Arabidopsis thaliana: one gene and its partners. The protein of the gene in region 2 purifies or fractionates together with the protein of the main gene of each other region. This does not show direct contact. Each region holds a gene or a part of one and is shown on either strand. Other genes may lie near its edges. The genes, in order: AT4G18060, NRPA2 and ELF7.

Evidence for each region.
Region 1: the proteins of NRPA2 (region 2) and AT4G18060 fractionate together in Arabidopsis thaliana (co-fractionation; one large-scale study listed by BioGRID). This does not show direct contact.
Region 3: the proteins of NRPA2 (region 2) and ELF7 fractionate together in Arabidopsis thaliana (co-fractionation; one large-scale study listed by BioGRID). This does not show direct contact.

Annotation. Positions count from the first base shown.
Region 1 is NC_003075.7:10,027,960-10,031,713, reverse strand, and holds the start of AT4G18060 (SH3 domain-containing protein), read left to right. Parts: upstream 1-1,680; 5' UTR 1,681-2,051; coding exon 2,052-2,111; intron 2,112-2,316; coding exon 2,317-2,439; intron 2,440-2,562; coding exon 2,563-2,632; intron 2,633-2,736; coding exon 2,737-2,891; intron 2,892-2,988; coding exon 2,989-3,090; intron 3,091-3,172; coding exon 3,173-3,370; intron 3,371-3,444; coding exon 3,445-3,507; intron 3,508-3,578; coding exon 3,579-3,668; intron 3,669-3,754. Other genes in the region: AT4G18070 (suppressor), read right to left, coding at 1-145, 770-875. UniProt on the Arabidopsis thaliana protein: May be involved in the recruitment of DRP2A to the accessory protein complex and in the negative regulation of its GTPase activity.
Region 2 is NC_003070.9:10,484,809-10,488,562, reverse strand, and holds the start of NRPA2 (nuclear RNA polymerase A2), read left to right. Parts: upstream 1-1,738; 5' UTR 1,739-1,892; coding exon 1,893-2,073; intron 2,074-2,169; coding exon 2,170-2,255; intron 2,256-2,344; coding exon 2,345-2,464; intron 2,465-2,708; coding exon 2,709-2,785; intron 2,786-3,032; coding exon 3,033-3,096; intron 3,097-3,227; coding exon 3,228-3,298; intron 3,299-3,412; coding exon 3,413-3,490; intron 3,491-3,575; coding exon 3,576-3,621; intron 3,622-3,754. UniProt on the Arabidopsis thaliana protein: DNA-dependent RNA polymerase catalyzes the transcription of DNA into RNA using the four ribonucleoside triphosphates as substrates. Second largest core component of RNA polymerase I which synthesizes ribosomal RNA precursors.
Region 3 is NC_003070.9:30,001,985-30,005,738, reverse strand, and holds the start of ELF7 (hydroxyproline-rich glycoprotein family protein), read left to right. Parts: upstream 1-1,655; 5' UTR 1,656-1,769; coding exon 1,770-2,365; intron 2,366-2,443; coding exon 2,444-2,512; intron 2,513-2,592; coding exon 2,593-2,700; intron 2,701-2,784; coding exon 2,785-2,965; intron 2,966-3,054; coding exon 3,055-3,131; intron 3,132-3,214; coding exon 3,215-3,334; intron 3,335-3,754. Other genes in the region: AT1G79740 (hAT transposon superfamily), read left to right, coding at 1-665, 972-1,372. UniProt on the Arabidopsis thaliana protein: Component of the PAF1 complex (PAF1C) which is involved in histone modifications such as methylation on histone H3 'Lys-4' (H3K4me3). Involved in regulation of flowering time.

The DNA of each region.
Region 1 (3,754 bases), on a different chromosome or scaffold from region 2:
TCATCATCCGAGCTGGAGCTGCTGCTGCTGCTGCTACTACTACTGCTGCTACTAGAGCTCTTGTCATGATCATGGCTTGAATCAGTGATCTCTATGCGTTCATTAACACCATCATCGCTCTCCTTGTCACCTTGGCTTCTCGAATCTAGCACATCAGTTTACAAATCCAATCAATATCACAAACAGAGTGACTTAACACTGACTATTCAAGTCAAATCTAACTATTGTACCATCCAGAGAATGAAACATATACTAGTAAACAAAATAGGCACAGCTACTACTAATGAAACCAAAGCATCAGAGATAAACAAAACTCAGCAAATGATAAACAACTTCAATCATAATCATGAATCTGATAAACAAAACTATCCTTTAGTCCAAAACAGAAAACTAGATTCAACCCATATGGATTACGAAGCAGAACATGCTAAAATTAACCGAAAGATCAAATTTTTACAGCTTGAGATCCCAAAATTGTGAGCCTAAAACCCCAATCAAAACACAAAGAAGAGTAAAAAAGATACCCATTTGTTTAGATCAATGAGCACAAAACCATAAAAATCAAAACTTGAAGAAACTATACAGAGAACAAAGTTAAAAAAAAACTCAGATTTAAAGCGAAGCAAATATATAAACAAACAAGAAAGGTGGCCTAAACGTGTGTGGTGTGAGTGAATAATTGAGAGATACAGAGAGACAACAACAAGAAGAAAAAGGCAAAAAGAAGAAAGTAGTAGTGAGATTATGGGGTGTTAAAAGAATTAAAAACCATGGTTGTTGGATTTGAGGTTGATTAGAGTAGAAGATCCTTGTTGTTGTTGTTCTTCCTCTTGCTTTTTCTTGGCAGCTTTCCTTTTCTTAGCACCTGAAGGCATGATTTAGGCTAGGCTCCTTTGGTGGGGATCGATCTCAAAAACAGCTATGGCGGATCGTGGCTTTTGTCTCTTTGATTTCTCTCTGTTAAAATATAATGGCGTCTTCTTTTCTGTCGAGCCGTAAATGTTTCAAAACTCAAATTGGTGGAAGTGGGAAAGTTTTAGATTCTTCTTATACATACATGTGAAAGGGTTTCTGAGTTTTATTGCTTTTTTTTAACTGTAAAATCACTAATTGATCTTCTTGTAATTTTGTTTCCGCGTTTGTTTCGTTTATTTTCCGCGTTTGGTTTACTAATTTAGCTATTAACGAAATAGTATAATGGATAGAGATTATTTTTGTAAAGTTTGTTCAAACAAAATCATCTTTACAACTTGATTGTGTTATAGATAAATTAAAACAAAAAAATGTTGTCATTCAGTACTTTAGATACCAATATACATTTGTCTTTTGGTTGACTATAATTTGATTTAAGTTTACATCAACAATAGAACCCTGTTTTAAGAACATGGAATTTAATGAAATATCTCACTGAAATTTTAAGTCGGTAGAGTAGGAATCTATACTATACTGAGAAAGGCAACGTTAATAATAAAATAAAAGAAAAAGTATATAGGTTGTCTTTTCAGATTATAATTATGTAATGGCAGTTAGGACAAAATGATATGGGAGGAGTGGGGACAAATAACAAGTGGTTATGAGTTGTCCATGTCAGTTTTTTTGTTAATACCTATACTTTTAAGTTTTAATTAACTTAATCTCAGTTTATGCCAAACGGATTTAGCTAATTTTAATTAATTACTCAATAATAATCGTAAGTCGTAACGTAAGGTTTTTAGTAGAAAAGCCTCGTCTGCTTCCAAATAATTCAATCGCGAACGCTCCTTTTAATCAGACCGGACCGGACCGGTTTGGTTCAATCAATCGAATCGACCCGACCCGCTTAGATCGATGTGTGTGCTCTGTGATTGACTGATTTTCTCAGAGGGATAATCAGTGACACATCGAGTCGAAGAAGAACATACATTTCTACTGAATCAGATCTGATCTGCTTTGTCAGTTTTTAAACTGTTCTGATCTAATTGAGATTTCTCAATTCCACTCAAAATCCTTTAAAGCTTGTCTCTTTTTGGTATCTCTGAATCAATTTGGGGAAATCAAGAGGAGAAGTGACAATGGATGCGTTTAGAAGACAAGCGAGTAAGCTTAGAGACCAAGTCGCAAAGCAGCAACTGGTAATTCCTTTTCATCGCCGCAACTAGTTTCACTGTTACCGATTCAGCGAAACGAAGCTCAATTTAGGTTCTTTGTTGCTAATTTGGATTAAAAAAAATGGAAACTTTTTGATGGGTTTTGATTTGTATATTATTGAGTATTATAGAGTTACACAATCTTGGTTGTGATGATGTGTTGATTGATGTGTGGTAATGGGGAATGTAGGCTGTGATAAAGCAATTCAGTGGGACTGGTTATGAAAGCTCAGATGTAATGGTGATTGATGAGCTTGAAATGCAAAGGCATCATCAACTCGATAAACTTTACCGCTCTACTCGTTCTGCAAAGGTTTGACTGATATTGACCTAATGGCATTGTCACATTTTATATGAGTTCATTGTTGGGGGAGAAGGTTTCAGTATGATTCATCGTAGCACAATACCCTCAAACATATGTTATTGTCACTTTCAGGAGTTCCAGAGAGATATTGTTAAAGCAGCTGAGGCATTTACCACGATCGGGCTCAGACACATTGAAGCAGGTACTTAACTACTTATGAGTGTCTGTTTTGTGTTACCTATCATTGAATTAAGTTATACTATGATACTTTTGTGAGTTTTCTTTTAATATTCTTTAAAATTTCAGGAACCAAGTTGTCTGAAGACTGTTGTAGGTATGGGAACGAAAATAGTCAGAACATTGATGAGAATATACTGGCCAAGGCTGCAGCTATATACGGTGATGCACGGAAACATGTAGACAAAGAACAAGAAGACTTCAACAAGCTTTTGGCTTCTCAGGTTCGGCTTGGATTATCTGTGTTTAATCTTAGTATGTTTACGTAGAATTAAATCTAGTAGATAACAAGAGAAAACCTTTTTGTTAAATGCCGTTAAGGTTTTGGATCCTCTAAGAGCTATGGTTGCCGGTTCTCCTCTTGAAGATGCTCGTCATCTTGCTCAACGTTACAGCCGCATGAGACAAGAAGCAGAGACACATGTAATCATCTTAAGATCTTAGTTCTATGATGATGTTGGCTATTTTATTTTGTAATGTAAGTTAAAACTTAAAAGCAAAACAGGCAACGGAAGTCTCTAGACGGCAAGCACGTGTAAGAGAAGCTCCGATTCCAGAAAACGTAGCAAAGCTTCAACTAGCGGAAGCAAAAATGCAAGAGCTAAAAGCAAATATGGCAGTCCTTGGTAAAGAAGCAACTGCTGCATTAGCCGCTGTTGAATCACAGCAACATAGACTCACTTTCCAGAGGCTTGTGGCTATGGTATGTTTTACATACACACACACTGGATTTTTTTGTCATATGCAGATTACTATTTACCTTATCGCTTATTCTAGGTTGAAGGGGAGAAGAATTATCACTTAAGAATAGCAGCCATCCTCAGTGACATTGAAGCCGAGGTTAGTATTGGATGAATCTTTCCCACATCTTTTTCTCATCAAAGGCTCACACTTTTGGTCTTACCGCGTAGATGGTAACCGAGAAACAACACAAAGAATCTGCTCCTCCTGCGATTCCAACAGAGAACGGCTCAGAGAAAACGTCATACTTTCTTGCTGAAGTAAGTTTTATCTTCCGTAATATTATCATCGCATATCTCACAGAAAGAAAAAGACTCTCCATAAGCAACATATATGTTCTCTCGCA
Region 2 (3,754 bases):
GTTAAAAATAAAATGCATAAACTTTTTCAAATACAATCAGAATCGGTCAATCCGGTGACCGAAATCAATTATGATGTTTTTGAGAGTTCTGATTGAATTTTCAAAATCTACATCACTAGTTGGATAAAGGTGATTTTGATGGCTACCTTGTGATCATCATATCATCTGATACTCTTACTAGTTGGAAGCCAAAGATATAAACTCTCAAATACAAACGGAATCAGTCAAATCATATGGTCGAATAATAAATTATTATGTTTTGACACACCAAAGCCTAGCTACATGTACACTTGAGTTTATGTTGGTGAACGTCTTGATCACAAAATCTCACATACACAACATTGATGTCCAGCGTTAATGCGTTATACCCTTCTAGAGATCTAATTGGTGACACAAAATCTCACGTAGTGTAAGTCAGCAGAATGAATGCGTTTCAGAGCTAAGATCTTACATGTTCAAGCCAATGCTTTCGAGGAACGGTTTTTGTAGATCCAAGAAAGGAATAGAAGCTTTTATATATATGTCCAGACAAAAATATTGGATTTTAATTAACTATATATATATATATATATATTATGATCAAAATGGATAACTATAACTTATGCATGACAAAATAGATTCACAAGAGTAAGATACGTTTTTCTAAACTAGTACAGTATTTATGAGTTCTACAATATTATGCGAGCCATTGCAAGGTACAACATTACATACTAGTCTTACTGCATTTAAATGGTTTGGATGTGTATATCATTATGTTTATTGCATAATTTGATCATTTTGGATAGCTATGAATCGGCATTAGATTCATGTTAGCATTTGGATTACAACATAATTTTGGAATTGTGATATTTCAACGTTGGTATCATATTCGTAAAGGTATGATTATTGTAGAAAATATGAGATCTTATATAGATATCCTGATCCTCTCATTGTTGTTTCTAATGGGATGGAGATCCAACGTTGAATATGAGACTATGCTTCACACACAACACACAACTCACGACTCACGCAAAATATACTTACCCTTCTCCTATCGTAAATACTGTCCGACTAGTCACATAACATTTTTCAAACTTGCACGTCGAAAATTTTTCGAGGAAAAATCTATTGTTGTCTTCCCAAGGATCATCCAAACCATATAATTGCCTCATTGATGCATCTCCCAAACCAGAAGCTAAGAAAAAGGACCCGGATCGAAAGTTTTAGTTAATTTTGTTTTATAACGGTCAAATTGTCTGATCGCGCTCATCCATAAGACCATAACCATAATCCAACATACACGACATTCCCCAAACGAAAAATCTTCGGCATAATTCAACCACTCGGTGGATCCCAAAAAATCAGTTTCGAACAGTATGTATAGATACACACTTTTAAACTTATATCTTGCAAAACAAACAAACACATCATCCAATATATCATCAATACACGAAAGTTTCACTTAACTAGCTTTAGTAGCAAATCAATTTTGCTCTTTTTAAAAATGTGATATAATAGTATTTTTATTTTATACCTGTTCGATCTTGATTAACGTTGTTTTAGTGAGCTTAAACACCAAATATCGTTAAGGTTCAATAGAGAAATTCACCAAAAAATAGTAAAAATCCGTATCCAATCTCGTTCGAAAAATTATTAAGAATTAAGGGTTCGAAATATAAACATTTTAAAGATGAGGATTATATCTGCAATAAACTTGAAAGTTATCGACAACCAGTAAAACCCAAACTCAATAAACTCCTAAAACCCTTTCCCTTTTTTCTCGCGCCGCCTTCTCTCTCAGACTTCTCCGCCTCTCCATCAATTTCCTCAGGCAAGAAAAAGCTCCTCCGAAACCCTAATTTCAGCTTCCTCAAACCTCAGAACCGGCCTAGCTTGAGAGCAAACCTTAAATCATGGTTGTGAACGCGAAAGACTCGACGGTTCCAACGATGGAAGACTTCAAGGAGCTTCACAATCTCGTTACTCATCATATAGAGTCTTTCGATTACATGACACTGAAAGGACTCGATGTTATGTTCAATCGAATCAAACCCGTTTCTGTTTACGATCCAAACACCGAGAATGAATTGAGCAATATCCTTTTTTTTTTTGTGTTGAATTTACTCTATGGCTCTTGTAATGTTCAATTTTTGTTTGTGTTGTGTCTGATTTCCTTGACAAGTATGATACTTTGGTTAGAAAATCCTCTAGTATTTGCTCCACAGAAGGAGAGTTTTAAATCAACATCAAGGAAAGAGCCTTTGCTTCCCTTTGAGGTGAAGTTTTTTTGTTTTGAACATGTTTCCGAGGTTTATATATTTTGTTGGTGTGTTAGTAACTTTGGTTTTGGTTTAATGAATAACAGTGTAGGCAAGCGAAGATTTCGTACACAGGAACGTTTATGGCTGATGTTTGCTTTAAGTATAATGATGGAGTCGTTGTTAGAGACAAGTTTGATTTTGGGCAATTTCCTATTATGCTCATGGTGAGTGTGATCTGTTTATTTGATTTCGCTATTGTTTATTTTTACTTTGATTCTGTTCCTGAAGATATGACTATTCCCAAAGCGAGAGTCACTTCTATGGCTGGATGCTTTAATTTGTACATTTGGTTCTTATAACTGATAATGGAACAAAGCTTAGCTCAATGATTTATCTTCTTGACTTTGCTTATGATTACAAGTCTTTGTTTATGAGCTAATAGAAATTGATATCCGTACTTTATTGCAGTCAAAGCTTTGTAGCTTAAAGGGTGCTGATTGCCGGAAACTGTTAAAGTGTAAAGAGTCAACTTCTGAAATGGGAGGGTAAATGTTCTTCCACCTCTTATACCTTATGATAAAGCCACTGTGAGGCTTGTGGTTAATATGTGATTTTGTGTCTGTGGATTTTTTTTCTAAACTGTATTTTTGTGAAGCATGACAGCTATGTTTATAGCAATGGAAACTGGGGTGTGATTAAAAACATCTGTTTTGTCTATGCATTCATGTTGCTCTTGATATATCTTCCCTTCTATAAGTCGATCATGATAAATTTTAGCTTTTCTTGAAATAGGTACTTTATTTTGAATGGGATTGAGAGAGTGTTTCGATGTGTTATTGCACCAAAGCGGAACCATGTAAGCTACCTCGCCTTTTAACTGACTAAGTTCATGAGTATAGTGTTTTGCTTATAAAGTTTATGGGTATAGTGTATTCCCATGAAGTTCCTTGTATCATAATTTAACTGACTAAGAATCTCTTATAATAGCCAACAAGTATGATTCGGAACTCATTCCGTGATCGTAAGGAAGGATACTCTAGCAAGGCAGTTGTCACTAGGTATTTGAAGTTTATCTCTTCCTTATGTGTTGCATATAGTAATGCCAATCTTCCCCTAAAGTGGCAATAGATCTTAAAGAGTTCTTCATGCGGTTCTTTTTTCTTAATTCTTAGGTGTGTTAGGGACGACCAGTCATCTGTTACTGTTAAACTGTATTATCTTCGCAATGGAAGTGCCAGAGTTGGATTTTGGTAAGTGTTAACTTTTGATGTTGGAATGTGGATGACATTTCCTACAATTTGAGCTACAGGTTAACTTTATTTCTAATGGACACAGGATAGTGGGAAGGGAATATTTGCTTCCTGTCGGCCTTGTTCTCAAGGTATGGTCTTAGTGACTCTATGAATCTGTCTTCTGTAGCATAAGAACATTAATTTTTTAAAGGCGAAATGTTTTGAGATTCTTTTATTCAAATTTCGTCTTTTTTTTTTGAATTCTCATTCAATTCTCCATTT
Region 3 (3,754 bases), about 20 Mb from region 2:
TAAGTTTGTCTACAACAATAGCCCCGTGCTAGATTTATTGAGAAAGTTAACAGGCGGGCAAGATATTATCCGAAGCGGTGTCACAAGGTCTGTCTCCAATTTTCTATCATTACAGTCAATGATGAAACAAAAGGCAAGGCTAAAACACATGTTCAATTGCCCAGAGTATACCACAAATACTAACAAACCACAGAGCATTTCATGCGTGAATATCCTAGAGGATAATGATTTCTGGAGAGCTGTGGAAGAAAGTGTGGCTATTTCCGAGCCTATCCTGAAAGTGTTGAGGGAAGTTTCTACTGGAAAGCCCGCTGTAGGTTCTATATACGAGTTAATGTCCAAGGCCAAGGAGTCAATACGGACATACTACATCATGGATGAGAATAAGCATAAGGTCTTTTCTGACATAGTTGATACTAACTGGTGTGAGCATTTGCATTCACCTCTTCATGCAGCAGCAGCATTCTTGAACCCCAGTATTCAGTATAACCCAGAGATAAAGTTCCTCACTTCCTTGAAAGAAGATTTTTTCAAAGTGTTGGAGAAACTTCTTCCTACTAGCGATCTACGGCGTGATATTACAAATCAGATATTCACTTTCACTAGGGCAAAGGGAATGTTCGGCTGTAACCTGGCCATGGAGGCGAGGGATTCAGTTTCACCAGGTATGGACAATAAATACATTTATATTTTCTTTAAGTCATGACTAGTGAACAGAGATGTATAGGTAGTCTGAGTCGGGAGAAAAATAATCCACTTATCTATGACCGCAATTAAAGCTATGGTCTTATTACACAACTAAATAAGTCCAGGTTGATATAGCCTGGCACGTAGTAAACCGAATTGCAAAACTAGTAGATATCTTCCCCTCACCAGGCTATTAGGGGTATGGTCTGGGATCTTTAGAATTGGTAACGAAGCACTAGAAGACTAGAAGTTGATGTCTAATAATGGTTTGCTTAGTAATGCAGGTCTCTGGTGGGAGCAGTTTGGTGACTCAGCACCTGTTTTGCAGCGGGTGGCCATCAGAATACTAAGCCAAGTTTGCAGCGGTTACAACTTGGAACGCCAATGGAGCACATTCCAGCAGATGCACTGGGAAAGGCGAAACAAGATTGACAGAGAAATATTGAACAAGTTGGCGTACGTGAATCAGAATCTAAAGTTAGGGAGGATGATAACCTTGGAGACAGACCCAATTGCCCTGGAGGACATTGACATGATGTCGGAGTGGGTGGAAGAGGCAGAGAATCCCAGTCCTGCCCAGTGGCTTGACCGTTTTGGGACCGCCCTTGATGGAGGCGACTTGAACACCAGGCAGTTTGGCGGTGCTATTTTCAGTGCCAACGACCATAACATCTTCGGCTTGTGAAGTCCTGGTAAGAGGTTTTCATAAGTTGGTCCAGCGTGTTGAGTGTTTAACCACACACCTCGGTTCGCTATACTGTACATAATGTTTGAGTAATTATCAATGTAGAAAATAAATATTTTGTGTTCCTCACACAGTCACACGTCGATGAGCTTGGTGGTACAAAGCATGTTTCGTTCATATTTGGGATTCATAAAACGGTGAGCTTAAGATTGTTTTTGTTTGTATTGAAGCCGTAATTATCAGAACCCATATGATAGTAGCGGTTATTGGGCCGCTAGTGAGGCCCAAATTAAAGTAAAAAGGAAAAATCAGTCTGACCGGAGCTATATAATTAATATATATCAAGAAGACTCGTTTTAGTTGGTTTAGGTGATTCAGATCACAAAGTACACCGAGAATGGCGTCGTACCGGCCGCCGTATCCTCCTCTTCCTCAGCCACCATCTCAAAATTCTTTGGCCCCTCCGCCTCCCCCGCCGTCGTTACCCCCTCCTGTTCCTCCCCCACCACCGTCGCATCAACCGTACTCATATCCTCCGCCGCCGCCTCCTCCTCCGCATGCTTACTATCAGCAGGGGCCCCACTATCCTCAATTCAACCAGCTCCAAGCTCCTCCTCCTCCGCCACCTCCCTCAGCTCCTCCTCCGCTCGTTCCCGATCCTCCTCGACACCAGGGTCCCAATGACCACGAGAAAGGGGCCTCCAAGCAGGTTGGAAGGCGGGAGCGTGCTAAACCGGATCCATCGAAGCACCACCACAGGTCTCATCTTCCTCATTCTAAGAAAATCGAGACCGAAGAAGAGAGGAGGCTTAGGAAGAAGAGGGAGTTAGAGAAACAAAGGCAAGACGAAAAACATAGACAGCAGATGAAAAATTCTCACAAGTCTCAGATGCCCAAGGGACACACCGAGGAGAAGAAGCCGACGCCCCTACTCACCACCGACAGGGTCGAGAATAGGTTAAAGAAACCAACCACCTTCATCTGCAAGCTCAAGTCAGTATTCTTCAAACGACTACCTAAATCTTTTTTACATATTATTGTTAGACTCTGATATTCATCTTCTTCTTCAAGGTTCCGGAATGAGCTCCCTGACCCTAGTGCACAGCTTAAGCTTATGACCATTAAACGGGATAAAGATCAGTATGTTTCTCTATTATTGCCAAATTTTATTTCTGTGTTATTCTACTGTCCTTACTTGCCAGCTATTTTGATCCCACTAGATTTACAAAGTATACCATCACATCCCTGGAGAAATTATGGAAACCAAAAATCTTTGTCGAGCCTGATCTTGGAATACCCTTGGATCTGCTTGACCTAAGTGTGTACAAGTATGTGCTCTCAATAAAGTCTTAGTGTCTTTAATGCCAGCGACCTCATCTACTGGGGATACTTACTGTTGTAGCTCTTTTCAGCCCTCCCAAAGTCAAGGCACCTCTTGCCCCTGAAGATGAAGAACTCTTGCGTGATGATGACGCTGTTACACCTATTAAGAAAGATGGCATCCGGAGGAAAGAAAGACCTACTGATAAAGGCATGTCTTGGCTCGTCAAAACACAATACATTTCTTCTATTAATAACGAATCGGCAAGACAGGTATCTATCCATCTCGCTTGTTGGAAATTTGTTTTGCCATGTATAGCTTCTAGAGACAGTTTCCAATTTCCTATGTTTACCTTGTGTAGTCGCTAACGGAGAAGCAAGCAAAGGAACTGCGAGAGATGAAAGGAGGCATCAACATCTTGCACAATCTTAACAATAGGTGTGTTGTTTCTCAAATATGTGTATTTCTAAGGAAAGTGAGAAAAAAAAAGGTCTAATGGTTTATTTTTCTTTGGTCTCTAGAGAGAGACAAATCAAGGATATTGAAGCATCCTTTGAGGCATGCAAGTCTCGACCAGTTCATGCCACCAATAAAAACTTGCAGCCGGTTGAAGTTCTACCACTGTTGCCATATTTTGATAGGTTGGATGCTCTTTATTTCCCCTTGCAGACAATCTTAAATCTGAAATACCGAATCAGGCAAAATTTTCTCATAATAGTCCTACATGTAGACACAGCTTGAAAGCTGACACTTTACAGATTATCTTTATGTTGGCTCTCTCTGAAGGATCTCCTGTGGTCGGAAACATGCACGAATAGTTTTCCTATAGGATAGTGTAATCAATCGGGTGGGAAAATAGGCAGCCTTGTTAAGGTCTAACTATACAACACTTAAGAGAGATGTTGGGTCTTTAATTTTTCCCTTTTCTCTGCTCCAACTCTTGTTCAAATGTTTCTTTGCTAGGGTTTTAGTGTATTGCCTTTTGGATGAAACATCCACTAATAATTTTCACTGAACCTGTAGCATACTATGCTATTACATTTGACTCTCCCCTTCCTTTT